Linked DNA regions of Struthio camelus. The protein of the gene in region 4 interacts with the protein of the main gene of each other region in a biochemical or structural test. Links are inferred from orthologs where the notes say so. Each region holds a gene or a part of one and is shown on either strand. Other genes may lie near its edges. The genes, in order: FASLG, ENO1, SNCA and FYN.

Region 1 (7,292 bases), on a different chromosome or scaffold from region 4:
AAAAGCCTAAATGAAGGAGAAGATTTTAGCTGCGGGAGTGACATTGAACTCTCAGGGCATGCATGTTACCAAAGGAAACTGAGAAGGCCTACATGAAGCAGGATCCTCGCAGCTCTAACCAGGCTGCCCTTCTGCCCCAGCCACATCTGCCCTGTCCCGCTCTCCCTTCTCGCTGACCCCTCAGCACATACCTGTTAAGTGTGCTGCCTTCCTCTCTTCCTTTTTCGCTGACGCGCTCTTCTCCCCTACATGAAAACGGAGAAGACTTTAACCACATGCTCCATGGAGAAGCCAGCCCAGAGACCAGAAGGGAGCCCTCTGTGATGCTGAAATGGGGCAGCTTCAGGGCAGCACAAGGTGCATGGGCAACACGGCCTGGTGCAGCAAGGCAGATTGGTGCTCAAGCAAAGGCTTCACAGCAAGGAAGCACTGCAGCAAAGGATCCAGATTAATCAAAAGCAAGGGGAAGAACAAAAGAGCAAGGACAGCTTTCATTGAAAATGGCTCAGTCAATAAGCTCAAGCAGAGGTGTCTCCCTCAAGGTGCAGGAGAGGGCTGTCCTGCCCCATTAACTGGCATCTCTGGCCCATGCCAAGGTGACTGCTCATGTCCTGCCAAAGATGAGCCTGCTTTACTGCCCTCTTCCAGTCCAGCACTGCCAGGGGCACACGTCCCTGTGACAGCAGACAGGTAGCTGCTTAGTGCCAACCCTCCTTACAACTAGACCAGAAAAAATACTTGAGACTGCCTGCAAACCATCCTGCTGGCCGTGCAGACCTTACCCTGTGAGAGGCAGAACATAGCTAGGAAATCCTGGCCTCCTGCAGAGGGCTTGTGTCCCCTTGGAGAGAGAGGCCAGTGACAGTGAAAACAGGTGGGTGCTTGGAGCCCATGCCACCCTGTCCTTCCCCTCCATTCAGCACCCACTTCCAAGCACTAGGTTCCCAGATTTTAAAAGAAGCCTCTTCTTTTCTCATGCCAGGCAAATTCCATTTTCCTCTCTGCCTTCTCTGTTACACTATTTCCCTGGCTTTATTTATTTACTACCTTCAAGAATTTTGGGGTTAGTATTTATGCCTCACATTCAGGTGCTGCTAAAATAGCCTGTGATCAGAGCACTGAGGAGCTGGTTAAAATGACAGAGGAAGGAGAGCTAAGCAACAGATTACAAAGTTAATTGAAACAGGAGCTGCCCTTTCCAGGGAGTTATGCTGTTTCCAACTTCACTTTCATTCTGTATCAGAACAGAGTTGAAAAGAAATGAACTCTCCTACTAAACAAATCCTCAAGAAAAAAATATATTTTCAGATCTATCAAAAAAACTGAACAATTCTTTCTGCTTTAACCTTCTTTGCAAAGGGATATTATCACTGATAACATTATCGTGCTATGTAAAAGTAAAAAAAAAAGTCTGAAAGTTTCAAGTATAATTTTAATATTGTTCCATTCTAATAGAAACTCTACTTTTTTTTCCTAAATGAAATTTCAGAAAAATTGGCAGGTTCTTGTGGAAAGTTTCAATTTCACTGAAAAGACATTTCTAAAAGAAAAAAAAAAAAATATATATATATATATCATCAGGCTTTTCTCAATTAGCTTTGGCTGCAGTGAGACTTTGTACCAAAAGAATTTAGGAAAATATAAGTTGTCCTCTCAAGGGAGGAAGTGAATGGTCCACCCCCAAAGAAAATGAAACCCTCCGCATCCTCCCAAAATCTTGACAAGTAAGGAAACAAAGAAGTAACACGAATGATGCCTGTCTGGGATCTCTGTTCTCCTTCTTCTATCCATATTGTTGCTGTATATTAGGGCAGCTAGAAACTCACTTACTCTAGAGCCCCTCTAGTACCATCGCCCCATTGGGGACTGGGAGGTCCAGCCTGGGGGCAGATTGTCCCCATACCCACGGGTGATACCAGGGCAGTTTTCCTCCCAACAGGCAGGGTATGGGAGCCCTACCCGCATTCTGGAGATACATTTCTCATTCCAACCAAAGGAGTGAAATCAGCACTTTCAGAACATCAGAGCTGCAATCCTGCCTTTGCCCCCCCCCGCCGACATGGGGAGGGAAGAGTGAAATGGGAGATTTCAGAGAAGCTACAAAGAGGGAGCTCCTCTACCTACATCAACTCACCTATGAGCTTTTCCAGAGCTGGAGGGATGCGTTCAGTGCTGGCAGACTGTCAAAAGAAAAGATGACAAAGTCTCTTAGCATGGGAAGAGCATAACGGCATTACCTGGAACAGCCAAGGACTCTCTTTGACAGTGACTAGTTCTGGACACTCAAGGAGAACTGCGGAGTGGTAAGAAACACTATGTACAGGGACAGAGACCCTGCGGCACTTAGAAACACAGAGACATCCAGGCATATCATAGCCACCAACAGAGCAGTCCTCTACCATGTAAAACAACCCTACTCACACTAGGAGAGCAGACATTCAAATGTCTGCCCCATGGAGAGTTCTGCACCCCCTGAGCACCTCAGATGCATTTTTCGGTTTTTGTCCTTTCTTTTTTTTCCCCCCAGAGCCTCTATGACAAGCCAAACAGACTTTACCTCTCTGAGTTCAGCCAGTTCCTTCTCCAGGCGAAAAATCTGAAACATGCTCAGTCCAACTCCAGTGAGAGACAGCAGGATCAGCAAGGAGACCACCAGGAAGCCGACGTTCTTCCCTTCCCTATTGCCCCTTGGCTTTGTCCTCCGATCAGGTACTGGTGGTGGGAAGGGGGCAACGGGGGGTGTTGGAGGACAGGAAGTGCTGGGATTGGTACAGCCATCCACCCAGAAGATCTGAGGGTACAGGTAGTTCAGGTTCTGCTGCATGGCTGGGAGAGGGATGGGCTGGACGTGCTGTGCGTGATCTTCCATGTGGCAGCCAAAAGCTGCCAGGGCTGACCCAGACTGAGTCCTGGGGGAAGACCCACCTCTGCCTTTATACGCCTTCATCGCTCCAGCAGTGAACACCCAGCTCAGATGCTGTGCCTCTATGAAAGCCTCAAGCATCAGCAGCAAACCTCAAAGAGCTTCCGCCCTCAGCTGCAAGTTCAGGGTTGCCTGCCTGCTCCTCCCACACTGAGGCAGCACGCACACACACCAGGACAAACCCAGTGGCAGGCTGCTCTCCTACAAAACTGTGCCCAAAGGCTAGGCTCAGGAACGGGTGCACTGAGTAGTAAAGCACTGGCAGGGCATGAGAGTGCTGCGCTGCCAGCCAGGGGCTAAGCAATCAGCCCAGCACGCACGCCAGCCAACGACCCTTTCCAGCAGCCCGCTCTCCGCAGCCCACTCGCCCTGTGGTGCCCAGGACCAAGAGCAGAGGGGAACAACAAAGCCTGTCCTGCTTCTGGCCGCCTGCCTAAGAGGGAGGAGGCAGAGCTGAGGACGCTTCTCCTTGGAAGGATAAAGATCTGATCCCAAGTGTCACTGTGGGCACTGGGGAATTAGTTCATTTTGCGCAGGACAAATTACTTAGGGCAGTCTGTTGCACATCCCACCTTTCCTTTGCCTGCTCCCTAGGGCAGGGATTGTGTGTACAGTTTTGTATAATCCCTGACACAGCAGAGCCCTGGTCACAGATGCTGTGGTATAATAAACCAACGTAACGAAAAAGAGGAAGGCAACGTCAGTGCTGCAGCCTCAGCAGAGCTGCCCCAGGATTGACAGCCCAAGCACAGCCGGCTCAGTGGGCTGTCTGCACCCACACCAAATCACTGCATGGCACTGACCAAGCTGAACAAGCAGTGGGCTGTAACGCAGGAAACACACATCGTGTCAGAGCAAAATCAGGCTTCTTCTGGCAGCTTCTGCTTCCCTGTTTACTTCTGCAAACAGTATCACTAAACACACAGTCCTGTTCTGAACTGAACAAGCATTGGAGCTGGGAAGGTTGGTTTTTTTTTTTCTTTTTAGGACAATGCTGAGAACTGCAGCAGGACCTAACCAGTCTGTATATCTCATGATTAAAGCCTAGAATAGACACTGCGCTACTCATCTCTCAGTAGAATTTCTCTGCCTTCCTAGAAAGGATCCAGAGTTTAAGCTATGCTTCAAGGACCAGCACTCAGATGAAGGCTCATTACAAAATCATAATGAGGAAGGACAGGGACAGGAATGTTTCCATCCTTCAATGTAAGGCTTCAGTGGCCACAGATTTCTAAGTGATGGCAATGAGATCGTCCCACCAATTTACAGGCACACAAAAAACACTGTCCGCAGCAATCTGTTCTTCCATTTCACAGGCCTGCACGGCAGCGTATGTGTTTGCATAGGGGCAATGTTTAAAAAAGCAATTGCCTAACGCAAGAGGAAACTGGAGTTTTGTCTCCTACGTGGCCAAGCAAAGCAGCCCCAACACACGGGTTTTTATCTTGAACATCAAAAACTGGAATCTCAGGACAGCATGCTTTACCAAAAGCTGCATGCAAGCTTCTCCAGAGCAAGGGCTCAGCTCTACCTCCAACCACACCGATAACACTCTGATGTGTCCTCAAAGCCTTGCCTGCACCACCAGCCACCCCACTGTGTTTTGAAGCTATTCACCACAGCTGCTTGCTGAAGCAGTGATCTGCAGCGTGAGAGATTTCAGAAACTTATGCGGGTCCTCCTTCCTCCTTATACCTCTAGGTTTCTGACATAAAAGACACAAAAGCAACATGAATCCAGCTCCAGCAGTTCAAGCCTGGTCACACCTCCCCTCAACATGCAATTCTCCTCTCTGCATCTGAAATGGTGCCTACTAGCCAGGCAAAGTCACCTGCTAGTGGGATCATTACAAAAGTGGGATTACCCTTTGGGTCACACAAAGGGCTGGGCTCAGCTCCTCACCTCCTGCACCCGATGTGGAGTTTGGTCCACCCTGTTAGCCAGTGCTGGAGAGAGCGAGCGAGCACAACCTCTAGCCAGGAGCTGAGAGAAACAGCAGGCTGCTTGGGCAAGTGTCTCCCATCAACATGCTCCCCACACTGCCTATGCAGCACCTGAGCCACACGCAGGGGATGCACCACCCACTCAGGCTTTTTGCTCAACACAGTCCCAGCGGTCAGCACCAGCACTGCCTCACTCAGAGCAGTGAGTGCAGCACACCTGTGGCTCTTTGCAACATGGACGCTGAGCAGGGCAGGGAGTCCCCATTTCTTCTACAGCCCTCTGTATCCCCTTCAGCTGCTGTAAAATACACGGATGGGCTGGGGAGCAGGAACCAAAGCCTGGGACTTCCTTGGGCCCCAAACCCTCTCTTCAGATAGGGTTACCCCTGCCTCTCCTCCAGCCATGTATTTGGGGTTCTTCCCCATCAGGGTGAGACCCCTGCCTGAGGTGGGCCCAGAAGCCAGGTCCCCCTACAAGGTGGGCTTCCAGCTTTGACTAGCTCAGAGAAGAGGGAACAAGCACATCAGCTCCAAAACTTACTTCCTCTCACCGCTTTTTAAAGAAAAGGCTTGACATCTACGGCATAACAGAGGACATCAGAGCGCTCGGCTGTTGGAAAGAGCCTCCTCCGGCAACACAGGCAACATCCAATTACTAAGGAGGGAAGGAGACTGTCTGAAGAGCACAGAACAGAGCAAGGGAGCTCCCCTGTACTTTTGGGGTGCTGGTTCAGGGACTGACTGACCCTCAAAAACTCAAAGTAAGCCATGCCAGTGCTGCTGCCTGGACTTTGTACAGCCATCCACACATTTAGTTTTCAATTTTATGATCAGTACCGTGACTAGGAGTCAGAGCTGTGACAGAGACCAACGGAGCGTTTATACAGGAACTGGGTGCAAGAGGCAGGAGCTAAGGACTACGACCTTACAGAGCTCTTCCCAGCTCTAGATCCTACACGTGGGCCCTGGGACAGTCAGCTCTGCATAGGTACCTCACTTTGGCTGTCCAGACAAGCAGATTTCACCCTTGCTATATGGCACATATCTCATCAACAGCTCTCAAAATTACACACCTGTCCTGCCCTGAAGGATGGGGCTGGATGGCCCCACACAATTATATAGAGCTGGAGGGATGGCCAAAAGCCACCAAGCACGCAGCCTGGCCCAGAGAGGATCCACTCTCAGGATTTTTCTGATGCTGTCTATATTCAATGCAGACAGCTCATCTTGGTGGGATTGCGGGCACATTAGGAGCCTCTCTTAAATGTCACAAATGTACTTATTTGTCACCCACTGCTTCCTTTTTTCACTGAGACGCTTTTCTATGAGCGGATGACAGGGCAGAGACAACAAAGTCAATGAAAAGCATTTCAGCCATGCTGCATCTTCGGATGTTCAGATCAAGAGCCTGCTAATACCGCATGTTGCGGCAAACCAAAGCTTGGCTTATTTTACCATCAAAGGGTGATTTTTGGTGCCCAGCATGTTTTCAGAGACCTCTGCTTTCCCAGCACACCCTGCCATGCTGATTCTGTTGTCACACTCTCCGATTCCTTTACGACCACCTTCAGAGACCACCGAGATGATACATCCTGGAAAAGAGCAGTAAGGAGGGCTGCTTCTGGGCAGGATGTCATGATGCCTACAGGCTCTGCGCTCTGCTGGCTTCCTGTTGCTCACATGCCACATGGTATTAATAAACAGGGCTTTTGAAATAATAGCAGGACAATTTGCTGAACATAGACACCTGAGTCACATGAGTCTCTTTCACTAAAAGGCCAAGAGCAGGAAAAAAGGACGGACACAAAGGGACAAGATGGGAGTCAGATACGGCTTTCTGCCTCCCTATCTTTCTCTTTGCACAGTTTGTAGGAGGCCCACCCTGTCTTCTGCAGCCATACTCCCTCATTTGAACAGGAGGAAGCATTTTCAAATGGAAACACTTCATGTGCTCTTTACCAGAGAATCTCCTTTGCCCACAAACAAACAAACAACGGAAGGTAAGCCACAGCTACGCAGACACAAAAGGAGGATTTGCTCAAAAGACCACCCCCCCACCCCCAGGAAAGATGAGAGCTCTTATTAATAGTACTCAGTATTAGCAAAACCTAGATTCTGACAGCGATGAGAACCAGCCAGTGTCTAAGAAATACAGCTAAAAGTTTGTATCCAGCAGGTTTAAGGACAACAGGATGGAATTATTCCTGATGCGTAGCAAGGAAAATGGAACTTAAACAATGATCTGGATCTAATAATTACCAAAAAATAAATAGAAAATAGTAATTTAAAAAGCTAAGTGTAAGAGGGAGACTCTCATCGGGTTCTGGACGAAGAAAAACGTGTCAACAAATATCCCATTACAATAGTGACTAGCAGAAACGCTAGAAAACAACTACTGAAAGTCTATAGTGCTGCATAAATTACAC
Region 2 (7,403 bases), on a different chromosome or scaffold from region 4:
GAAGATCTATGCATGGGAAGTCTCATTTTGTAGAGTCTCAGGTGTGACCTAGAGCAACCTCCTGGCAGAGGTGTGACAGTGCAAGATGTTGGAGCATGCTGAGTTCTGCTCTGTTCTTTCCGTCTGTCACACTGATGGAGGCCTCACCCCCAGCTACCTTCTTGGAAAAAACCCTGGAGCACTAAGGTGTGCAGTGAACCTATACAAAGCAGAAGGAGAGACAAGCAACATCAAAAACAAATGCACGGAACCAGCTTTTCCTTCTCACGTTCCCCAGTATGTCTGTTGGATCCCTTTTTTTTTAAAGTAAGAAAGGAGAGGGGGATGTCACTGACAGCTGGTGTCAGACTCCAGAACCACTCCCCGCAGGAGCGTCATGGAGCCCTCTCCCCATGCTATGATAGCTCCCTTTGATTGCTCTGGTTTGCACAGTGCAAGTGCCCAAACATCTGCAGACCTGAGAACTTGACTCCACAGGGTCACTTGGGTCATCCATCCTGCAAAGCCATTGGAGAAGATCCCAAGAATGTCTTTGTCTTTCCCCAGGACAAGTGTCCCGCCAGCCTGGGTCACTTACCCTTTCTGGATACTCTTGGCTTTACCCACTTCTCCGTTCAGCCATAAATCTGCCATCCCGGACTGGGAGGCCCATGCCATGCACTAGTGCAGCCAATTTTCTGACTCACGGTGCAGAGGGAAGCTGATGAAATGGCCTCCTATCCACAGCCCCACATGGGCACCCACAGTCACCACCAGCTCCTTGTCCCTCTCCTGCATGGAGTAGGAGAGAACAGTCTGACGGCCCGCCTGCTGGGCTCTGGTCCAAAAGCATAAGGTGAAAGCATGGAGAGTCATACTGCGCAGGGGCTGAATGTTCACACAACTCAAATGTTTTCCCCAGGGAAGTAGAAAGCTGGGAAAGGGCTAGATTTAACACCTGAAAGAACCAAAAAGAGTCAGCTGTTACAGTGCCTCCCATGTCTATAAATCAGACCAAGTCCTGCAGACTCCACCCATGGCAACGGGCAGGGCTGTGGCAGTCTTAGCTGATTTAGCTGCAACTACTGGCATCTGCCGTGTCAACAATGAATGAGCTTGAAATAATAAAAAATTTAGCTCCCTTGCCTATTTGCTTTGGGAACATTGTGTTTTTTCCCTCCCTCTGTTCTCACCCTGTGTAAAATGGAGACGACGATTTGCCCTAGGGGAACTGGGAGCTTAAATTCCTGACTGCTAAGCTGCAGTGCGTGTGAGAGTAGCTAGTTTTGTGCTAGACCTAATGATAACGTGGCTTATGAAAATTCTCCGTCTGGCCCAGATTTGGGACCACGTTCTACCTGCATGTAGCGGTACCAAAACCGTTAAGCGCTTAGGGCAGCAGGGCATGGGCTCTTCATCCTTGGAAGGGGTGGGAGGTAACCGGGAGTTTAACCTATAACCCCATAGATGCATGTTGCTTATCAATCTGGCTCCCTCTGTTGAGGAACTCTTTCTTCATGTCCTGGAGCTGCATCTGGATTTGCTCCGGTCAGAGGCTGAACTCCTCTGGAGAACATTGATCTAGAGCAAGCAGACAGCTGCATTTACTGAAGGCCAGGACCTGCGCGCGGTAGGGTTTCTGTTTTCTAGTTTGTAGAAGATTGGGGGAACATCTTTGTTTTAAAATGGGGTGCCTCACCGCTATACGGTGCCTGGCTAGTAAGCCCTGCCAGAGCTGTTTCTGCAGTGGATAGGATACCTCAGCTGTATGAACACAGACAGGCTTGAACCTCCTATTTCCGCGTGGCGTCACGCAGCAGCGCTTATCCCGGGATGGCTGCGTGACGCACCGCGGCGGCAGAAACCGGGGTTTGGTGCACAGCTTAAAACCACCGCTGCATCATAAGATGCCAGATGCGTTGGCAGGGGGCAAGGGGGCACACGGGCCATCTCCGCCTGCTGTGCGGGGACACCGCTGCTCCTGGGGATGACGGTCTTGGGCATCCTACCTTAAGCAATTTCTAGCTTGACCCCTTCCAGACAAGTTTCCTGTTCCCTGGCGAAGGCCAGTCCTGCCTGCTGACTCCCTTTACCTAGGGCGAGTTTGGCTCTGAAGGAGGCCTCCACCACGCGGTCGTGGAGGGGCTGAGCGTGTCAGTTCCTCAGGGTCCGCTTTTGCCAGTCCGGCAAGGTGTTCTCCAGGAGGCCGATCTGTGAGTAGCGCAGCCTTATTACAGAGGGCTCTTATCAGCTAATTGACGATGAAGGCGTTTTGCCTGAAGGACGTTATTTTAACGCCTGCCTGGTAGCGTGCGTGATGGAGCTTTAGCAATTATTCTGTAGCGTACTGCTTCCCCAAAGTGCTTCCTAGCTTTCCCCCTGCCACCGAAATGAATGTTTCTTTATGTCAAACGTAAAGGCGCTGTGATCCTCCGCTACCGTGACCTCCTCTCGGTCTAGTTTTTCGCCTGGAAGGAGGGCTAACTGATGCTTCTGCTTCGTTAAGGAAGGTGATCCACCCTGCAAGGCTCGTTGGTAAGCTTTTTTCGCTAGCGTTACTTTGTTCCCCGCTAAAGCCCTCTTGCTGACAAGGCAGACAGAGAGAGAGCAGAGACGGGGACCCTGCCGCGCGACAGTACGCCGCTGCTGGCACAACCGCGGTCGCTCCGCAGCGCTCCGACGCGCCGGGGCCTTGCACCCAACAAGGTCCTCTCTCGTGCCCCTGCCCTGCTCGCCCATCACGCGGCTAAAATTCGTATCAGGCCGCTACTGAAACGAGATATTCCAGCTGCGCAAGGCAGGCGTAGACCAGAAAAGAGATACTTTCCCCAAAAGTGCTATTTATTCTGCAATTATTTTAATCCTATGAACATCTATGAACCTCACAGATGAACATCACCTATGAACAATCCTACGACCATCTCCCTTTTTTTCTTTTCTCTGTTTCTTTTTTCTTTTCTCTCTCTCTTTTTTCCCTTTCCGCTCAAACGCTGTCCTGCAGCAGTTCTGCCCTGTTGACCCTGGCTGGTCTCTTGCTTTTTATTTTTTGTAGCGTTTCAGCCTGGTCGAGCGTAACTGAGCTTTGTCGTCGCTCACCAGACGCCAGCTGATCTCGCGCTGTGCAGAGGGCGAACCTTACCGCGGTCTAGCATCGCGGTGTGGTCACGGTCACCCGTCGTGCCAGTTGCTTAGGAGGCTGTCTCCGAAACCCCGCGTGAGGAACCCGCCGTTAGCTCCTCTACCGGGTCGTTGCCAAAAAATCGCTGGTGAACGGAAAAGGTAAGTGTGTTAGGAAAAAATAAAAACTAAATAAAGCGTGGAGGAAAGAGAAGGTGCTGGGAGCGGGAAGCAGCTAGTAGCGAGCTGTGCGTGCGACGGCGCGGTCGGAGACTCAGAGACGGCGCAGGTCACGCGCTCGGCGGGGTTGTCGGGGAGCCCCGGCAGCTGTAGAAGCGCGGGAGGTTTTCTGGCAGCACGGCCTGGACATCCGGAGGAGTGAGCCTTGCTGAGTGTCCTCCAAAGGCAACAGAGAGGCAAGATTAGCCAAAACCGGTGAAAAGGCGAGAGCGACGTCAGCGGTGGGACCGGCAAACGGCGGCTCCCGGGGAGCAGAGCGGAGCGAAGGGGACGGTCCGTGCAGCGGGCGGGCTGCTGGAAGTGAGTCTCTACCGCTGTCGCGCGCTGACCGCCTGGGCGGGCTCTTGCGGCGGCGCTGCGCGGGCCAGGGACGGCACGAGGGGCAGGCTGAGCCCGGCTGGGGATGCCCGAGGACCGCGGCAGCGAGGCGTCCGTCCGCAGCCCTCTGGGCCGAGCAGGCCCTCAGTTAAGGCCTTCAATAAAAAAGGCCGCCGTTGTCCGTGGCGGGGTTGCGGGGGGAGCGAATTAGCTATTCCTAATTGCAGACAGAGCTAATTGCTTCCTATTGCTTCCAAGGCGCGGGTACCTCGGTCATAAACGTGCTTGGTTTGCGTACGGAGGCCGGCTGCTTACGCCGACGCCGGTCCCCGCCTCGTGCGGCCCAGCGGGAAAAACTGAGGGGGGGGGAAAAAACCAAAATCTGCTGATCCAGGAGAAAGCGTGCCGACACCTGAGCCGCGCCGGCTCCGACCACGGATGCTCCGCCCGTGTTATTCGCCTTCCTCCTGTCGCTCTCGGCGCTGGTTTCCGCACCCACCGGTCCCCGCGCACGAAGGGCCGGCTGAGACCCGCCGCGCTCATCGCACGCACGGCCGCCGCGGCGGCAGGCCCCGCCCCCCTCCCTGCGCCCGGCCCCGCCCCTCCGTGGGATTTTCCATGAGCCCGGCCCAGGCCGGCAAGCGCGGGGGCCGCCGCGGCACGTAGCGCACGCGCCCCGCGCCGCGGCTGGGGCGAGGAGGCGGCTGGGGCGGCGGCGGCCAATGGGGAGGCGGGCGAGCGCCGGCTCGGCCAATGGGGAGGCGGGAGGGGGGCGGGGCGTGCGCACGGCGTGGCCCTATAGCCGGGCGCGCGCGCGGCCGTTGCTTCCCAGTCGGTTGCGAAGCGGCGTCCGGGCGGCAGGTGAGTGAGGCGGCGGCGGGGCCCGGCCCGGCCCGGCCCGGCCCGGCCCGGGGCGCCTCTCCGCTCCCCTTCGGCCTCCCGTGGGGCCGCCGCCCCCCCCCCACCCCCTCTGTCGTCCGCGGCGCCGCTGAGGCGCGGCCGTTGCGAGCGAGGCCGCCTCGTGGCGGCGGGGGTGGGGGGAGGGGCTGGCTGGTGCCTCTCCGCGGCCGCGTTAACGTCTCTTTCTCTCTTTTAATCATTAAGCAGCTGCTGTTGGACGGCGCCTCGCGGATGGGGCCTCTCTTCCCCCCCCCCCCCCCCCTTTAGGGATGTCCTTCAACTCCGCCGCTCAAATATTTGGCGTTTGGCGGGCGCTCGGAGTGTCGGCAGCGCTGGGGGAGCGGCGGGGGCGGCAGCCGGCCGCTCGGCCCGCGCCTCTGGGCGGGTGATGGAGCGTGGAAAAGGGAGGAGAGGGGAGGGGAAAAAAAAAACCCAACATTGGCCTCTCTGCGGGCTCGCCTCGTGCTGCAGGAGAGAGGATTGGGGCTTTTTGCCTTGTTCCGTTACTTGCTGCTGAGTCACAGGGTAGGGCTGCGGCTTTCTCAGCCCGGCAGGAAGTAGGGATGTTTCTGGCCCCAACCCCCGAACTGAGGCAATGCAGTTTTCAGGCCTCCATCTTATTAAAAGAGAGAGAGAGAAAGTAGCTCAATGCATCCTTGACTGATTCTGTGCCAGGCATTACTTAAAGCACGTTGCATCATGTTGCAGAGCGCAGGTGTGCGTTAACACTGCTTGGAAACCCAGGGGATATGACCAGAAGGTGCCCGTGTTGGTCCCCACGTGTCCCACCTTGAGGAATGTCTCAGTGTTAGGAGTATATTGTGAGCTCAGGGTCTAGTAAGCAGGAATGTTTCATCAGAGTGGGGATGCCATGAGGCTTGCAGTTTTACGGGTATCTTTTTCAGTGTGATGGGGGACTGCCACTGGCAGCTGTAGGGCAGATCGCTAATAAGACTCCTAAACTAAGTAGAATAGTTCTTCCTGTGGCCGAACTACTGTTTTTTTATTCCCCATTCAGGTTCTTGCAGTGCTCTGCCTTAGCCCTGTCTTGACTTTAGAGAAACGTGGCTGCAAAACAGCTCACATAAGTAGAACTCTTAGCAATAGAGTTAGCTGTAAGGTGAATTTCTGTGAACCATTTTAATCTAGGCTGGAGCAGTCTGCATTGTAGTTGGAGCGTTACGTTCCCTGTGCAGAGCAGAGATCAAGTAGGGAGTAAGTGGAGCTTTGATAGTGGAGGTAGTGTTAGAATTGGCAGTCCTGTGTTGGGCTGTAACTTAGACTTGAAGTAGGTAGCAACTTAATAGATGTGCTTCTAGGAAGGTAGGGAAGTTGGTGTGCGTGATACCTCTCCTAAATGACCTTGGGACAAATGACCTTGGCAGCAGACTGCAGTACAAAACAAGGTTTAAGGGAATACGTGCATATAAAAGTCCACTCTGGCATGTGTTTGGCTAATTCCATCGTTAAGTACAAAGATCTGGAATAGGTATTGCTAATGATGAGCTAGCTCTTGTCGTGCTTGTGTCCGGCTACTGTTTTTAACAGTTAGACCTATGCTATGCATGGGCTAGCTCTTGCTTTCTTGCTGAGGTGGCTGAATAGGATTGAGGCAGAACACTTGTGCTCGGCTTGTGATGACACAAACAGCATCAATCTTTTTTTAGCCAGGAATAGCTCCATAGGAAAATCATTTCTTGAAAGCAGAAGTGAGGGGGCTTGTAAAATGGGTTTAAAAAAAACTGACACGGAGAATCTCTGAGAGGATGCAGTGCTGCAAAATGCCTCCCTGTAAAGAACAGGGAAGGACTGATGGGGAGGTCATTTGCCAAGGACGATCAAGTACTGTGCTCTGCCAAACCTGGGGGGTAACTTGTGGTGGAAGCTCTTGCAGTGTGTATTCCTAGAGTGCCCCCTTCTTTGTGAAGGTGAACAAACAGTTCTGTTGCATGAGGACTTCTTTGTGAGGTGGCTATTAACCCAAAAGAATGGGGCATCTAATTTTTTTGTCGAAGCTGTGGTTCTGAAAACGAAAGTAAGGCATAGCAGGGGCCAGCCGAATCAGCTTTGAAAGCCCTTTTCAGGGATTCTTGCCATTGCTTAGTGCAAGTGCAGAGGGATATGTGCCTGTTGATATGGCTGGGACTGATAACTGGGGAGTTGCAGAGATTTATTTCTAGCTTACACACTGATTTAAAATTAAGTAGCAGCAGTATAGAGGCCAGCTTGAGCCAAGTTGCCTTGCTTCTTAGGGCAGTCATATAACTTGTCAGCGTTTGGGTCTTACAGTAGAGCAAGCAATATCTTAAAATACTCTAGCTGCCTCAGAACTGCTTTTCTGAGACAGGAGCAGCTGGAAGGGGTTCTTTGAAGCTGGTGGACAAACCAAATGTCTGCCTGTGCCTTTAATAGAGACAGTAAGCAGGAACTTGAGAAGGGAAAATTTTTACAGTGGAGGAAGAAAAAACGCATGAAGCTGATATCCCCCCCCCCCCAAGTATTTCTAAGAGCCTGTTTTAGTAACTTTTTGGTAACTGCAGAGATGTGACTATAACTCTGTATACTGAGTTACCACCCATATTGGCTTGCCAAAAAGCCAGCTGCCAGATATTTCTGCTTCTGAGGCTCAGCTTTCTTATCTGTTGATGCACTAGTTCTCATACCAGTCCATGGCTTACAGACATTTGAATAAGCTGATTTTTAAATACTGCTAGATTTATGTATGATGTTCCTTACTGCAATTTTTCTAAGGAGAAACTTAGAACAGAAATAAAAGTTCAAAGGATTGTAGTGATCCTTTCCTTTTAGGAGGCAGGGTAGGCTATTCTTGTAGATACTCCTCTCACAAA
Region 3 (7,255 bases), on a different chromosome or scaffold from region 4:
AGCTCTTCATTAATGAGGCATAGAGAGAAGCAGCTATGGATGTACAGTTGTGTTGAACATGAGGGTAATCTCAGAAGACAAGATGACACTGCCACACAAAAATGTTACTGCTGGGGATCTTAAAAACTGAGAAAAGAGAGAACAGGCTCCTTCCTAATGAGCGCGTTCCCTTCCACTTCATTTTATTCCGAGACAAAGCAGCCAGCATGGTTTATGATCAGCTCCTGAGTGAACCTCTCAAGCTTCTTCTCATAAAGAAAGAAAAAACTGCTGAAAACCCACAGGTTCTACAGGATTCTATGAAGCCTCTTTCCATTTTAGCTTTTATATCATTTACTGTATCAAAAAAAATCACATCTCCAACCTTAATGGAGTATACTTCTTGAACAGAGTGCCAGCTGGTCTCCTGTGCTGTAAGGCACCATCTATGATGCACATCTTGTTCTGTATAGGGCTACATATATGGCTCCACAGTGTAGCAACACAGACAGCACAGTGCAACAGCTTAAAACCAATGTTCAGCTTCAAAGAAACGAAACCCAGGAGGGCTCAACTCATCTTGTTTGTCTTCCAAGGTTCTCCTATGAGCTTTCTTTTTTAAAAAAAGAAAGAACGAAAAACCCAGAAGAGTAGCTCTGAGAACCCAACCTTCATTCTTGCAGATGAGCACAAACATCAGGGAACACCAGACTAGCAGCATGATCTCCGCTGCTCACCTACCCACATAGAGGACGCCCTCTTTCGTCTTTCCTGCTGCTTCTGCCACACCCTGCTTGGTTTTTTCTGCTGCTGCTACGACTCCCTCCTTCGCCTTGGAGAGCCCTTTCATGAACACATCCATGGCTGCAGAATCACACAGCTCTGGAGAAGAGAGGAAAAACCACCACACACACACAGGTCAAATAGAGGTTTTCTGCTTTTTTCAGAAAAGGAAAATTTTGGTCAAATTGATTGGAATCAGTTATTTAAAAATTAGACTATAGATAATTTACACCCATCTATTTTGTAGCTTTCATCCACATTTCCCTAGTAATACGTACATACTAAGCTAGCATTCAGTATTTCAGATAAACTATACAACAGCTAAACACAAAGAGGACTGTTACACGAATCTCCTTTACATTTTCTCATACGTTGCCACACATAACAAATTAAACAGCACTGCAAGAGCAGTACTCTCACAAGCCAAGAACGGGTTCGGAAATTTCAACAGAAACCTATAAATAAAGGGGTTGGATAACGCAGTGCCAATAGGAAGATGGATTCGTTGCTACGACAAGTGCTTTCACTGCCTCTACCAAGGCACCGCTCCCTTCAAAGTGAAGTTCTGTTCATGTACTGATTGCAAGATTCAGCCCCGTGATTTGATGACACTCCACATCAGCTCATGCAGAGGAAAAAAGGCAACATAAACACTGCCAACTTTAAAAAAAATCCTAAGTGACAAAGGTTCACTTGCTATTGTTAGGAGAAAATGCTGTTATAACCAAAAAGGACCTACAGCAAATAAAAAGAGCTGAGTTCTTCCCCCAGTATGCAGCATTTTGTGCACAGTCAGTGTCACTCTTCTGCAAACTGAGTTTCTCTGTGTGTTCTCTGCATGCACCACGAATGAGAAAAGATTTTGTAAAGAGGGGAAAAAAAAGCAAGGATATGCAATGTTTAAAGCAGAAAAGCTAGCAAACTAGTTCTGCGACAGATGCGCAACCCAGCACTACGTTTAAATTAAAACTAAAAAGTCAAGTTCCCTTCAACAAATGAGTTATCAACCGCCTTTTTTTTTTTCCTTCTTCTTTCCCCACCCACACAGAAAAAAGAATCAGCGCCCGTTATTTTCTCCTCTGCGCTGAAGGCGGAGTAGGAGGAACGCACGTCTAGGGAAACACCTGGGCTGCGGCAGCTTTCTACCAGCTTGTGAGCAGCGGTTGGAGAGGGGCAGCCGCCACCATCACCACCAGCCCGCCGGACCCTCCCGCTCGCGGCGCCATTTCCCCACCGCCCCGCGCGCCGCCCGCTTCCAACCAACCGTTACCCAACGGTCGCCCAACGGCCGCGCGCCCAACGGCCGCCGGCACGTCCCCAGCCACGGGGGCAGCGCCAACAGGTACGTGGGCACCTACGGAGGTGGGCGGCGCCACCGCATATACATTTATACATATATATATATATATATATTTAGAGAGAGAGGCACCTACAGAGAGGGAGGGAGGGCAGCGTGACCTGCGTACATGGAGGCACCTACTCAGAGAGAGAGTGGGCAGGGCGACGTGGCCATATATTTTTTATATATATATATATATATATATACACATACACGTATAGACAGGCACCTAGTGAGAAGAAGAGCAGGGCGACGTGACCAGCGGGGCACCCACGAGCTCCCCCTGACACAGACAGGACAAGCTGGCAAAACCACCTGACTTCGTCCCCCCGCCCCGTCCCCCCAGAATGATGTTCAATGGGAGGTGTGTATGTAAATAAATATATATATATTATATATAATACCGAAGCCCAGCCCTAGCCATTACAGGAACGGAAAGGGACGTTCCCGGCTGCCACACCACGCGGCGCCCTCTCCCCCCCTCCCCCGGAGCGCCCCGGGCGCCCCCCCCCCCCCCTTCACCGCCACTTACCGCCGGGCTCCGCCGCCGCGGACCCTTTCTGAGGAGGCTCTGAAGCGAGGAAAAGGGCGAAGCGCGGAGAGGCCCGAGGGGAGCTGCCCCCTTCTCAGTACATCCCTGAGGCGCGGGAGAGCGAGCCGGGTCTCCTGGCGCCACCTCGATGGCAGCCCGGCAAGCAGCGAGTGTGAGGGAGAGGCAGGGCGAGGGGTGGAGAGAGAAGCACCGCGGGAGGGAGGGAAGTAGGGGCGGAGGGAGGCTCCCATCACACACACCCCCCTTCTCCCGCCCCACCCTGTGGTGGGGTTTGCTGCGGGGGGACGGCCCCCGCCGCCTGCTCCCCACGGGAGAATCGCGTCAGGGGCCTCACGTATCTTTGGCACCCACCTCCGTGCTTCGTCAGTGAAAACGAAGTTGGAGGCATGATAAATTGGGAGCTTCCCCCCCTCCCCAGTCAAGGCAGATCCAGAGGGGAAGACAAGTAAAAGAGAGACCAGGGTTCTCGCTCACCTGTGGCTCTGCACACCCACTACCTGCTCAAAACAGAGTCTTTAGACACCTGGAAGTGTATGTATTTGATGGCAGTTGCAATCCACCTATGTTCCACTTCATTCAGGCTTAGGAATTTTTTGTAAGCCTCTTGCTACTTTTTCCTCTACTTCTAAATCCTTGCTCTTAAGTGACTTCAGAGTTAAATGCCACTGAGTTTTCATAATATTTATGTTCCCAGGTCATTTTTTATGCAGAGACTGATGCTTTTGAGGATGCAATTTGACTTAGTCCTATCACACAAGAAATCTGCACTTCAAGTCAGGAACATGACAAAACACACAGCCTAGCTCCTGCCAATCCCTGTGCCCCTCTTAGCATCCTCCACCATACACTTCATAGCCACTGCTACTCATGTCTCAATCTGATGCATTTATGAAACTTTTTCCTCAGTAAAGGGAAAGCTGTCAGACTTGTTCTCTATTTTGGTAGCCCTATTTAGGCATGACAAGCCAAGACCAGCAGGAGACAAGGTATTAGAGCAGATGGACCTGCAGCCATAGTACACTAGTTCATGTACTGTTTGAAATCCTGCATGACCTACAGAAAGTTTCCCTCTCCATTTGTTTATTCTACTCCAAAAGGACAGACAGAACACGCTGTAGCCAATACAACGATCTGACTTGCAAGAAACATCTTCCATTCCTCATCCTATGTAGGAATTTGCTGCTCCCCTGGTTTTAGTTTCATTCTGAACATGCAGCTGGAAGGTTCCTTTAGAAGCCTTGATGTTTCTCTACTGTATAAGAAAACTTGTTTGGTTTATCCTGCTACCAGTTTTAATCAGGTGTTCAGCAGTGTACTGTCTTTATGTAAGATATTGATAGAGAATATGAATCATTTCCTCATAATTCTACCTTCAAGAAAGGCTTTAAAAGCATAGTAATTACATTAGGTACCTCATCTCCTTCACACTAAGGAAATGTTCGTTCTTGATAGGGAGACAACTAACTTGTGGGCAAAGGAACATAGTTATCATTTATTAGACAGTAGATCAAAGGGGTATGCTTTCTACATGTGAGAAGTTAGTTTTCTTGCCACATTATTGCTATTTACAGTAATAGAATTCCCAAAGATTATTTAATTCTCAGTTATTTAAGTATTTCTACTTAATATTCAACAAAAAGCTTAATCCCTTGGAGTTCAGGGTTCCCCACACGCACTTGACATAAGGAAAGAACATGTATGGAATGCACCTAGTAGCTTCATTTTTTTCACTGACCATATATGTCAATTCTTTCTGGACTGTCTTAAATGTACATGTCAAAACTGATACATCTGCTCTAGAATGTAGTTTGTTGAATCTTCAGAGTCAAGGAGAGTAGAGCAGCTGGAAAATTCCCCGTGTGAACTATCTACATACTGAAGTGCCTAGGATCTTTACAGAGTTAGGCCTTTTACCAATAGTTCTTAAGTTCCCAGGTACCTTTTACAAGGAACATTCCACTAACAGAAATTTTCCAAGATTAGTTTCAAGAATATAAAGGCTTCTTTGCAAAATACAGTTGACAATCTGAGACTCAGTGTGCACTGATTCTGCTACATCACAACATCTACCACAGCCTATCATCAGTATTTTATGATGTTTGTATATAAGACACTTTAGATGCCTTGGAGAAAGGATTTCAGCAATATATAGAAGATACATACACTAACAGAGGGTATTTTTGTTTTAGAAAATGGTGTTACCAGGCCTTAATCTTTTCGTTTATGACAGCTCCTTCCGACACTGTCAGAAAAGTCAAGATTCAGAAATAACCTGTAGAGTTCCAGGTCAATAGACAGGTTGTAGAAACTCAGTAAAAATTGGCTTATGCTTCACTCTGGGAAACAGGCAGTTATGGAGACACAAGTCAATGAAAATCAGTAGTTTTTGTCACAGGACAAGCAGGATTGTTAGCTGCATTTTTATTTCAGTCACAGATTTAACTGAGCATTATATTTCAGCTACTTTAAAATTTTAAGTAACAGTAGCAGAAACCAGAAAAACTTTCTAGGAATTCAAAGGATAAGATTCAGAAGTACAAATATATGTTTTTACAAACTCCCTGCTAAGCTGCAATCCTGAAGAGCCCCAGAGAAGTAAGAAGTTCTGTTGTCTTAGAACTCCTCTGCACCCGTGCATCACATTGCAGTGTGACAACCAAATTTAACAATGAAGTTTTTAATCAGTGAGTAGTTCCTGGCAGATTATATCAAAAGCATACTTATTTTCACAAGCTATTTCAAACATTCCTTTTTCGTTATATTGTTGCCTCCAAGGAGGGAGGCAGCTAAACACCCTATATACAAATATAGGACATGTTATATACAAATGCCCTATAGCTAGCTAAAAGACACAAGCCATCTCAGGAAATGGATAATGAAATAGTTAAAACTTCTATTCTCCTTAATTAGACATTCTGTAACCAATCACTCAGCTAAACCTCAAACTCCCTCCACAAAATAATAAAATAGCAACTACTTTCAATTTCAAGCTCCCTTTTGCCAACTTAAGAATTAAAGGTAAACTAAAGAAACTTCTAAGGCTACTTTAAGAAGCACCAAGGTGCTTTAGTGAGAAGCATAACATTACTGACACTAGCCAAATGATCATAAGTCAGTTACCAAAACAATTTAAGTTTGGGGGGGGGGGGGGGGAGAGCATTATACTATTAAACTTCAGTGCTCAGTTTTATAAAGAGGTTGGCTACTGCCTTTTGTGGCAAGTATTGCCACTTTCACCAAAGCATATTGATCTGACTGAAGTCATAACAGTTTCTTATGTGCTATAACTGCTGTTTCTCTCATGCTTACCTCTTACAAAGTTTCCACAGAAGACCAAATCACCAGCATAAAACTTAGTGCCACTAGCCTTAAGTATTCTTATGTAAGTTGTAGCCAATTTTGAACCTAACTGACCTGCTTCACTTAAAGGGACATCTGCACCATGTCCAGGTGTACAGTTAGAGTCAAAGTCTTAGTAGTATTTCTTACATCACTTATACCCTTCTACAACAGTAAAAGATGAATACAGAAAAATAGAGCAGCACACAATGAAATACTCCCCCACAATGATTGTTTACAGAAGCTATGAGGAGAAGCCTTTGATAACATGGTAGAAAGCTTAAGCTCAAGTTCTACCCTTCATTCTGCCACTAAAATAAAACCCTGCTTACTATAAAAGCCTTACTGTCACAAAGTATTTTTAAAGTATTTCCTGTAGCCTCAGCGATACCATAGCAAAAACAGTGTAACATCTTACCCTTTAGTAGAAGCTTCATATTGGTAGAAAGCTAACTTTTAGGAGAGCACATAAAGCAGTTACAAAAACACAAGGCCTACTCAGACTCACCCTACACACCAACTTTAACGTTGGCAAGCCCAGCAGTTTATATACTTTAGGGCTTGTCGGAAGCCATTCTTTCATCATTCCTTACAGCTGTGTGAAACACTACTACCCAGGCCAGTAACCTTAGTCCCTAAATTAGAATGCCTTTCTAAAGGACCAGTATTGAGCTCCTTGTTTAAAAGTTATCTTCTCGCTTTGAAGTTAGATTTTCTTTGTCCGGTATGTAAGTGAGTATGAAAATAAAATCCTGCTTTTTGATAAATTAATATAAAACTGGATTTATTTTGTTAAAACTCTATGAAGAAGAACTTGGAGGTTTACAGCTGCTTCTTAGCCTTTGTAAGGCTTCTTCTTTGTCTCGTATTTATCAAAAGGAAGTATGTTGTTCTAGTACTAAGCAAAGCAACAGCTTGCAGGATAATAAAAACAGCTAGTTAAAAGTAGAGAGGCAAAGACAAGAGGGATCAGTTAGCACAGTAGAAATAAGATTTAAACATTCAGCTGTAAGATTCAAAATAGCTGCCTCTGAAAAATTTCAGATTGGAGCATAAGAGACACAAAAGGAAAAAAAAAAGAGTATGAATATGATAAATTCTTCATTCTGCAAATGGGTGGGACTTAGTCTAGAATTAAATATAGTAGGGAATTAGAACTGCATCTCCAAGGTTATTCCTGTTTAAACAATATTATCTACAACACCTGTTTTTCTAGGTTATCTCCATAGCACTATTAGTATAACTGTAAGTTCTTCCCTGAA
Region 4 (7,808 bases):
TGAAATCTACAGTACCTTAGAAATAATGAGTTCCTCACCAATGCTTTATCTTACTCAACTGGAATAGAAGCTTATCAGCGGGTCCTAACTTTTAAAGATACTTGACATAATTAACAAGTAACTTCCCTCTATCATCTTCATCACTACTTCTGCCTTGCATTTTCTGCTACGCCCATGTGCTTGAATCGTTCATCATTCATTAAAGACTGGCCTTAGCCAATCTCAAAACAGTGTTCAGGTCTGTTTAGGGTTTTATACTTAAGCGATGTTTCATGTCACTACATCTTTCCCCAGCAGATAACACAGAAGGGCTGAAATCATGTGGCTGAGGCATAAACTGTGAAACACCAAAGTCACTTATCTATCATTAGACAACTCATATTAGAAATTCTTATTTTAGCAAAGGATGAGCCATTCAGATGAGTTTACATACTGATTTGTTAGAGGAGGAAAACAAAGAGGCTGACAGGCCATCTCCTAAGGATCATCTGAATGTTTCAACAAACTAGGGAGAACTGCAACCTACCACAAATGAAATCCAAATTTTGAAAGCATTAACTAGGTCATATTACTTTCTTTATCAAAATGACAACATTCATTTGGAGGGGGACAGGATAAAAAAAGGAACCCAGTGCTTCTTCCAAGAGATTCCCTTTTCAAAAAAAAAAAATATATATATATATATAAAGAATTCTAAAAAGTCACCCATCTACTGACATCCACCAAGTGTCATCTGCTTCTGGAGAACACACATTAAGATGGTAAATAAATCCTGTACAGTGTGAGGAGGGGGAGAGGGCAAATCTTTTTACTTTACTGGTTTCAATTTTTAAAAATTGTTCAGTTTTAAAAACTAACAAATAATTTCTTCTCTCTTCCCAAATTTCCCACTGGGTCAAGCACTGGCTGACATGGATATAACTGAAAAGTTGGAGATGTTTCCTTCCCTTCCCAGTCCTCTGGTATTTTTCTTCTAGCTTCCTTTGTTCACTTAACAGAACTTTGTTTGAAGTGTGTTTTTACTCCTTCGCTGCATGACAAACCCACACAGTCAGGAGACAGGATTATAAAAACCACAGAGCTCCAGCAGGGAACTCAACAGTGGGTGTAATATTGGACACAGTTCTCCATTCATCATTCAAATTCTCTGGATTTCAAGTTGACAGTGTCCCTTGAGTTAACTCTTCCTTCTTCCAGGGAGATCAGACAAGTCAACCTTAACAAAAACACTTCCTCTATCAACATCTAAACAAACAAAGCTTCACCTACAATTGTTCTAAGCTTTGATCACAAAATACTAGTTTAAAAGATAGAAAGAAAAAAAAGTGTGGGGGGGGGGGGTACTGGAAAGTGTTACAGCTGCCAGGATGGTGGCAGGAAGGATGTGGGAGTTAGGGAGGTTGTATACAAGGAAGAAAATGACAAGGTCTCACAGGCATTTCCAGTGCTGGGTATGCATTTGAAAGCCCAGGCTGTTCCCACTTTTTATTAAGCATTTTAAGAACCAGAATGTATCAAATGATTGATGAGTAACTGGGTTGCTCTCCACTCAACCTAAACCTTCTCCTTTAGCATTGACTCTGCCCTGCCTCCTCCATCACTGCTGAACGGACCAGGATAGGAAGCTCTTGTCTTTAGTAAGTGTCCTCTCCTAGCACCTACGCATGCAAAATCCACATGGAACAAGGCAAGTTCCTAAGGAGGCAGAAACCAAACCGAATTCGATTCAGGAGATCTGGTGACATGTACGCCGTAGCTCTGCAGACGCAGCAAAACCCTGGCACCCGTGGCGTGGCGTTTGGTATCTCTCACTAATCTAAATGTGGCTGGGAAGGAACTGGGAACAGCTCAGCGGCCTCATCTGGGGAGAAACAGAGAAGCTCTAGGGAAAAGACAAGAAACAAGCCTCTTTTCACATCCTGCCACCCTTGGGCATTTGGTGCGCCCCTTCTTTCCTCCCTGAAAGAGGCCTTTGTCACAGAGGCGCAAATCCTATACGGTTTACCCGAGAGGGAGAGAAGGTCTTTTTATTTATTTCCCCCCCCCTCCCCTTTTTCGCAGTTCAGCGGCAACAAATAAAGCCCTGTGCTGCAGCTCCGGCACCTCTCCCGCGCCCGGCGCCGCGCGAGCCCTGAGGCGGCGGCCGCCGCGAGGCCGCCGGGCCCGGGCGGGGCACCCCGGGGGCGGGGGCACCGGCGGGCGCCGCGGCCTCGCGGCGCCCCCGTAACCGTCACCACCTGCCCCCGTAACCGTCGCCGCCCGCCCCCTCAGCCCTCGCCGCGGCGCCGCAGGCCCAGCCCGGCGGATCCCCCCCTCCCCGGGCCGAGCCGGCGAGGAGGCAGCGGGGAGGGGAGACAAAACCCGCCGCCACCGCTCCCGAAACAGCCTCTCAGCGCCATGCCCGCACGGAGGGAGGCACAAAGGAAACAAACACGCCGGAGCATCCTCCCTCTCCCCCCGAAACGCCCGCTCCCCTCCCCGGGCGGGCGGCGCCGGCCCCTCCGTTACCTGGGGCAGCTCAGCGCAGGGCTGGGGGCTGCGGCGCCGCACTCACATCCTCCTCATCCCTCGCTCGGCTCCGCGGCAGGGGCTCCCCCCGCTTCCGACAACAGTGACAGCGACAATAATAACAGGCAGCTCCGGGGTACCGCTCCGCCCCCCCTCCCCTGAATCTCTCCCGCGGGCGGAGGAAGGGAGGGGAAGGGCAAACTCCGGCGGGGCTGAGCCCGGCAGCGGGAGGCGGCAGCTTTTGTGTGGCCGGCAGAGCCGCAGCCTTGCGAGAGATGCGCTCGCACAGGCTCCCCCCGCCGAGAGGAGCTGCTGCTGCTGCTGCTGCTGCTGCTGCTGCTGCTTTCGCCTCCCCTCCGCTCCGCCCGGGCGAGCGCGGCCCAGGCGCTCCCTCCCACCGGGGCTCCTGACAGATGGCGCAACCGCAGCGCCGCTGCCGCCCCGGCCCCACTCACCCGCACGGAGCCGGGAGCCGGCACCCTCCCGCCCGCCGCGCCGCGCCGCGCCCCGCCGCGGGGGCGGCTCCAGATTGGCAGCGCCGCCGGCCTATGGCGAGGGGCGGCCGGCAGGCCCCGGCCGTCGCCATTGGCGGGCGGCGGCGGCGGGAGGCGGGGCGGCGGGGGGGAGGCCGCGCCTCAGCGCCCGCTCTCCGCGGCTGTGGCGGAGAGGCGGCGGGAGGGTCGGGTCGCCGCTTCCCCTCCGCCCCCGGCCTCTTCGTAACGGTCATGGCCGCGGGTGGCTCGCCGGGGCTATGCGGGAGGCTGCTGCGGGCTGGCCGGGCAGAGGGGCGAAGTTGGAGGAGGAGGAGGAGGAGGAAGGGAGTCGTAAAATGACGGCCGGCAGGCCGCGCCGCGCCTCCTGCGCCGCTCCGCGCGTTTGCTGGGGACCGCGGTGCCGGCGCGCTGGGGTCTGCAGCCTCCGCCTGGCCGGGGCCCACGGACGGGCAGAAACCTCTGTTTAAAAAAAACATAAAAAAAAATAAAAAAAGGGCGGGGAGGTGCATTGTCTCCGAGGGTGCCCAGGAGCGGGAAACAAGAATTAAGTGTTTCCTTAAGGCTCAGAATCACAGATGAATAGGAGAACAACCTTAAGTAGATTATCCCTCTTTTATAAAAGGTGTCTATTTTTTCTTTTATCCCTAATTCTTGAAATTGGCAGTCGTGGGTTATAAGGAAACAGCTATGGTTTTATACCACATCTGCATTTAATTGCTGAGAATTTCAGATCACTGTCAGAAAGATTTGTAAGCTAACAATGTCCACCTTATGGGAAGTGTATATGTATATTTTTAGTACAGTTAAAAGCCTTTATTGGAGCTTCAGCACATGCAGGTTTTACTGTCCTTGAATTGTGGTATACCTCGCTCCATAAACAGGTAAGAGGAAAAGGTTTCCGTACACCTTGTTCCTTTCCTTGTCTCAGCAATGCTGTAGTACCTCCTGGCATTTCTCACGGTGTTTCTGTCCGCCGCCAACACACACTGAAAAGCGCTGGGCTCTTCAGCTTCAGCGTTTGCACGCCATACACAACCCCGTCAGTGACCTGGGGTGCTCCTGTGCCGGAGATTGGCACATCTGGCTGTCACTCGTCTTGCAGGCTTCGAAAGTTTATCTGCCCTAACACTGAAGAAATCACTGATTGCGCTCTACACTCCAACAAAAACAGGAGAGACGTGTAAGAGAGAGATGCAGAGGAAGAGAAATGGAATAAATGTTGAAAGGGCACCAAGAAGTATAATACAAGTTTGCAATAAATAAGGTTTCCGTTTATCTCTTCGTCTCTTCCCCAGATATAATTTTTACCTGCTGATATTTTACACGGGGAATCTTTTGATCTTGATGATTCGATTTCTTGATGAAATTACAGTTTTAATAGGTTCAAATGTAACACTATTTTCTACCAGAATGTCTACAGTTGTGTGTTCACAGCAAAAAAAGAAATGGTTCGTCTATCTGGCTGTCTGTGTAGATGACTCTTTTTTGAGAATAAAATTTCAGGACCTTATAGAGTTTGTTCCATTGGCTCATATGAAAAACTTGGAGAGGATGAGAATTCCAAAAGAAAGGTGCCGATCATGTTGTTTCTCAATTAAAATCTGATTATAGGAGTATAAGCAAACGTTTTTCAGGCTTTTAGGTAGCTCATTTTTAGTTTGCCTCCTGCTCTTTCCATGCAATTTTTTAATTTTAACATATAGAATGTAAAAACAGCACAAAAACAGAAGTGCATAAATCAACTGAAAAAAGTTTTGCTGTTGCGTCCTAGTGGGTGATAGCAGAACTTAAATACAGAAGTCTAGCTCTGCCTTTCCAGAAGTACCAGGTAGAGTATCCTGGTCCTATTGGCTTCAAAGTGCTCAGTGCTTCAAAGAGCGCTATGCCAGAGGCAGGCAGTGGTTCAGGAAAAGCAGAGGTCCTGAGCAGAGACCAACCTCAGCGGGCCTGGTGCAGTCCGGGAGGCGAGTAGAATTACGGACGTCCAGCTTGTTGATTTTCAGGACTGCCAATAGTGCTTTATATCCCAAGCTTTTCTCCTAAGTAGAAAAAACAGTGCCTGACTCTAGGAGAACGTGCGTTTTTCTATGCCCTAAGCCTCCCATTTTTTAATCAAAGGACCAGATGTTCTTCCAGCAAGAGATTTAGGAAATTTACTTAATTTTACAGTCAAAAAAGTGAGAGAAAAAAATCCTTGTCCAAAGCTTTGAATGTTCTTGCTGCGAATTAAAACCAGAATGGCACAAAGGAGGAAAAAGAAAAAAAAAGAAAAGAGCAGCAACTCTTTTTTTGAGCCAAGTTAGAAAATTACCAACTGATCAATGAAACCCGAACAATATCACACATCAGCCACAGAGCAGCTCTAAGCCTGGGCAGATAAACTTGCTTGGCTGCTTGGCAGCGTGCCACAGAAAGTCTGATGCTCTGAGCTAGTACAGCTAAAGAGGAACAAGGTGTGGAGGCAGAAACCAAGTGCTGGTATGTCATTAAGCAAGGGAAGAAGCGATGGGTTTCCCCTTTAGGGGAGCTGTAATCTCTTTTAGGATCATAAGGAGCAGCAGAGTCGCTGTGAGCTCCCGCGGACCCCCGTGGGAGAGGCGAGATCTGGTGCAGCACGGCCTCCTATGCTGGTCGGGCCCGCAGGTGCGGGCAGGTAGCAGCTCTTCCCCACAGCAGATTTTGTCTTTGGCCCTCACAGCTACGGTCTGGCCATATTGATGTCAGCCTTTGGGAATCATCTAGAAAATCTTGACAGGCATCCTCCCAGCTAAACAGCAGAAATAACTAAATGTACTTACGTAACACAGGAGCAGCTCTTTACCTTCTGCTGCTGCTTCCTTAGCTTTTCTAAGCGTTTTAGTCTTAAGTCTATAATACTGTTTTCTCCCACCTTCATCTACATAGCCTTTCTCTGCACGCGAAGCTGCTTTCTCCTTTTCCAGCCTCACCTTAAAATACTTCTTCAGCAAAGTCTAGCAGTCCTGACCTTTGAAATACTTCTTCCTCTGTAGCCTCAATGGAAGACATGAAAAGTCAAAAACTTCATTCTGCAGAGTCCCACATGCTAACCAATATTGTGTCAAGATTTTACCCTTTTCCTTCCTATCCCATATTCTGCTACAGTAACAAAGAAGCCAAGCCATTTTTGTAACTGAGCAGTGTGAAAATTATGGAAGCTGGTTACGATTTATTTGTATTAATAATTTAGCACCTGGGAATGTAGTGCCACAGTCATGGGATGAGACACTTGTGTTCGTAATACCTCACTTGTCAGTGGGCAAGAAATCAGTGACACAGAGTGTGAATGTATGCTGAATAAATAACATCCACAGTTTGAACTGAAAGGTAATATTTTGACATGCAAAACTGAAGCTGAAGTTTGTAATACCGAGGAGATGTAAGAGTAGTTTGTGTGCAGAACAGAACAGTAGAGTGGTTCAGTTTTGCTGGTAGCTTTACTGTTGGTAAAACTAGACTGTCTCTGTGTGAAAACATCGGTGTTACTTGCTGGATTCTTCCAAGCCATATTTTGAAAAAGTCAGTACAAGAGCAACTTGTATTTAAGAAGATCCAAAAAGTGTCTGGTTCTATGGTGTCTTTTTTCACAATCTTTTTGAATAGAACTACTTTTCGGAAGGATCCCCAAATGTCACCTTCAAATTGTTGACTCAAAACTGTACGTCTATAATCACTGATCGGCCTCATTGCATTATATGCTCTACTATGCTTCTCCTCCTCCTTTATTAACTCGGTGACGCTTCCATTCATTTTGCTTTTGGTTGTATATGTTTTACCAGCTATAGACTGTCATGTATAGCATATTATAATAATAATTACAGAGCAATGGGGGAAAAAAAAAGACGATCAGAACTTGCCTACAGTATTTTAAGAGGCTGACAGTATTTGCCTGAAACATCCTACTGTGTTTTCAGGAGCTGATTTGGCTGGGGAGTGCTAAATGGGTTCTGCTGACTCACTGATGATTACTCCGGCGGGATGCTAAGGTGGCGGATACGGCTCCCCGGGGAGACTGGCTTCAGCGTGGGAACAACAGCGTGGAAGAGGAAGGGAAGGGGCTGAGCTGAGCTCTTCATCCTGCCCTTGAATGCTAATAGTGCTAATGTGCTCCAACCGCAGGAAGGGTATTGGCAGGGCTAGAAGAGAGCTTTGCGTTTTGCATAGTATGTAGACCATTTGTGAGAGCAGGTGGAGAAGGAAACTTGCTCACAATTATAGCTGTAAATAATAACCATTAGAGGCCTTCCTTGTTGCTATAGAAGGGCTAATTACAAGTGTTTAGGTCCGTACCAATTTTTTTTTTTATTGTCTTGGAACGTACCTGAAAAACAAAGTAGAAGACATTTCACAGAGATTTTCCCAAACGCACAAACCACGTACTAAACTGTAATGCTACGTCTTCAAATGGTATCATGCATTTTCTGAAAGTTAAATTTCTGGGTTTATAAGCTCCAGATGTGTTTACGCTCTGTGTGGCTAACATGCAGATATGGGGGAAAAACACACATAGGGTTACCTGAGGAAATCTAGAAACAGTTAACATAAAATATCTTAAATCCACCTCTTCAAAACTTCCTATGAATCTAGACTTATCAAAAGTTAGAACCTACTGAAGTCAGACACAAATCTTACTCTTATTTTTACTCAAATAAACATTTTAAACTCTTGGTGAAAGTTGATAAAATGTACTAACTGTCAGTAAAAATATTTTTTTTTAAATGGTAGTGAGGAGACTGGGAGAAGAATACTGGGAACAGCAGTGCATCTGTAATCCAGCCCAGAAACATC

Evidence for each region.
Region 1: the proteins of FYN (region 4) and FASLG form a complex in vitro, tested with the Homo sapiens proteins (4 studies listed by BioGRID and IntAct, with this or other methods). The link is inferred for Struthio camelus from reciprocal best matches to the Homo sapiens genes FYN and FASLG.
Region 2: of the proteins of FYN (region 4) and ENO1, one has a biochemical effect on the other in vitro, tested with the Homo sapiens proteins (2 studies listed by BioGRID). The link is inferred for Struthio camelus from reciprocal best matches to the Homo sapiens genes FYN and ENO1.
Region 3: of the proteins of FYN (region 4) and SNCA, one has a biochemical effect on the other in vitro, tested with the Homo sapiens proteins (3 studies listed by BioGRID). The link is inferred for Struthio camelus from reciprocal best matches to the Homo sapiens genes FYN and SNCA.

What each region holds. Positions count from the first base shown.
Region 1 is NC_090949.1:8,983,305-8,990,596, reverse strand, and holds the start of FASLG (tumor necrosis factor ligand superfamily member 6), read right to left. Parts: upstream 3,003-7,292; 5' UTR 2,948-3,002; coding exon 2,558-2,947; intron 2,181-2,557; coding exon 2,135-2,180; intron 246-2,134; coding exon 192-245; intron 1-191. UniProt on the Homo sapiens protein: Cytokine that binds to TNFRSF6/FAS, a receptor that transduces the apoptotic signal into cells. Involved in cytotoxic T-cell-mediated apoptosis, natural killer cell-mediated apoptosis and in T-cell development.
Region 2 is NC_090962.1:5,393,064-5,400,466, reverse strand, and holds the start of ENO1 (alpha-enolase), read left to right. Parts: upstream 1-4,391; 5' UTR 4,392-4,407; coding exon 4,408-4,515; intron 4,516-7,403. UniProt on the Homo sapiens protein: Glycolytic enzyme the catalyzes the conversion of 2-phosphoglycerate to phosphoenolpyruvate. In addition to glycolysis, involved in various processes such as growth control, hypoxia tolerance and allergic responses.
Region 3 is NC_090945.1:13,021,274-13,028,528, forward strand, and holds the start of SNCA (alpha-synuclein), read right to left. Parts: upstream 3,017-7,255; 5' UTR 2,634-3,016; intron 862-2,633; 5' UTR 842-861; coding exon 721-841; intron 1-720. UniProt on the Homo sapiens protein: Neuronal protein that plays several roles in synaptic activity such as regulation of synaptic vesicle trafficking and subsequent neurotransmitter release.
Region 4 is NC_090944.1:61,357,488-61,365,295, forward strand, and holds the start of FYN (tyrosine-protein kinase Fyn), read right to left. Parts: upstream 3,008-7,808; 5' UTR 2,964-3,007; intron 2,958-2,963; exon of another isoform or gene 2,509-2,957; intron 1-2,508. UniProt on the Homo sapiens protein: Non-receptor tyrosine-protein kinase that plays a role in many biological processes including regulation of cell growth and survival, cell adhesion, integrin-mediated signaling, cytoskeletal remodeling, cell motility, immune response and axon guidance.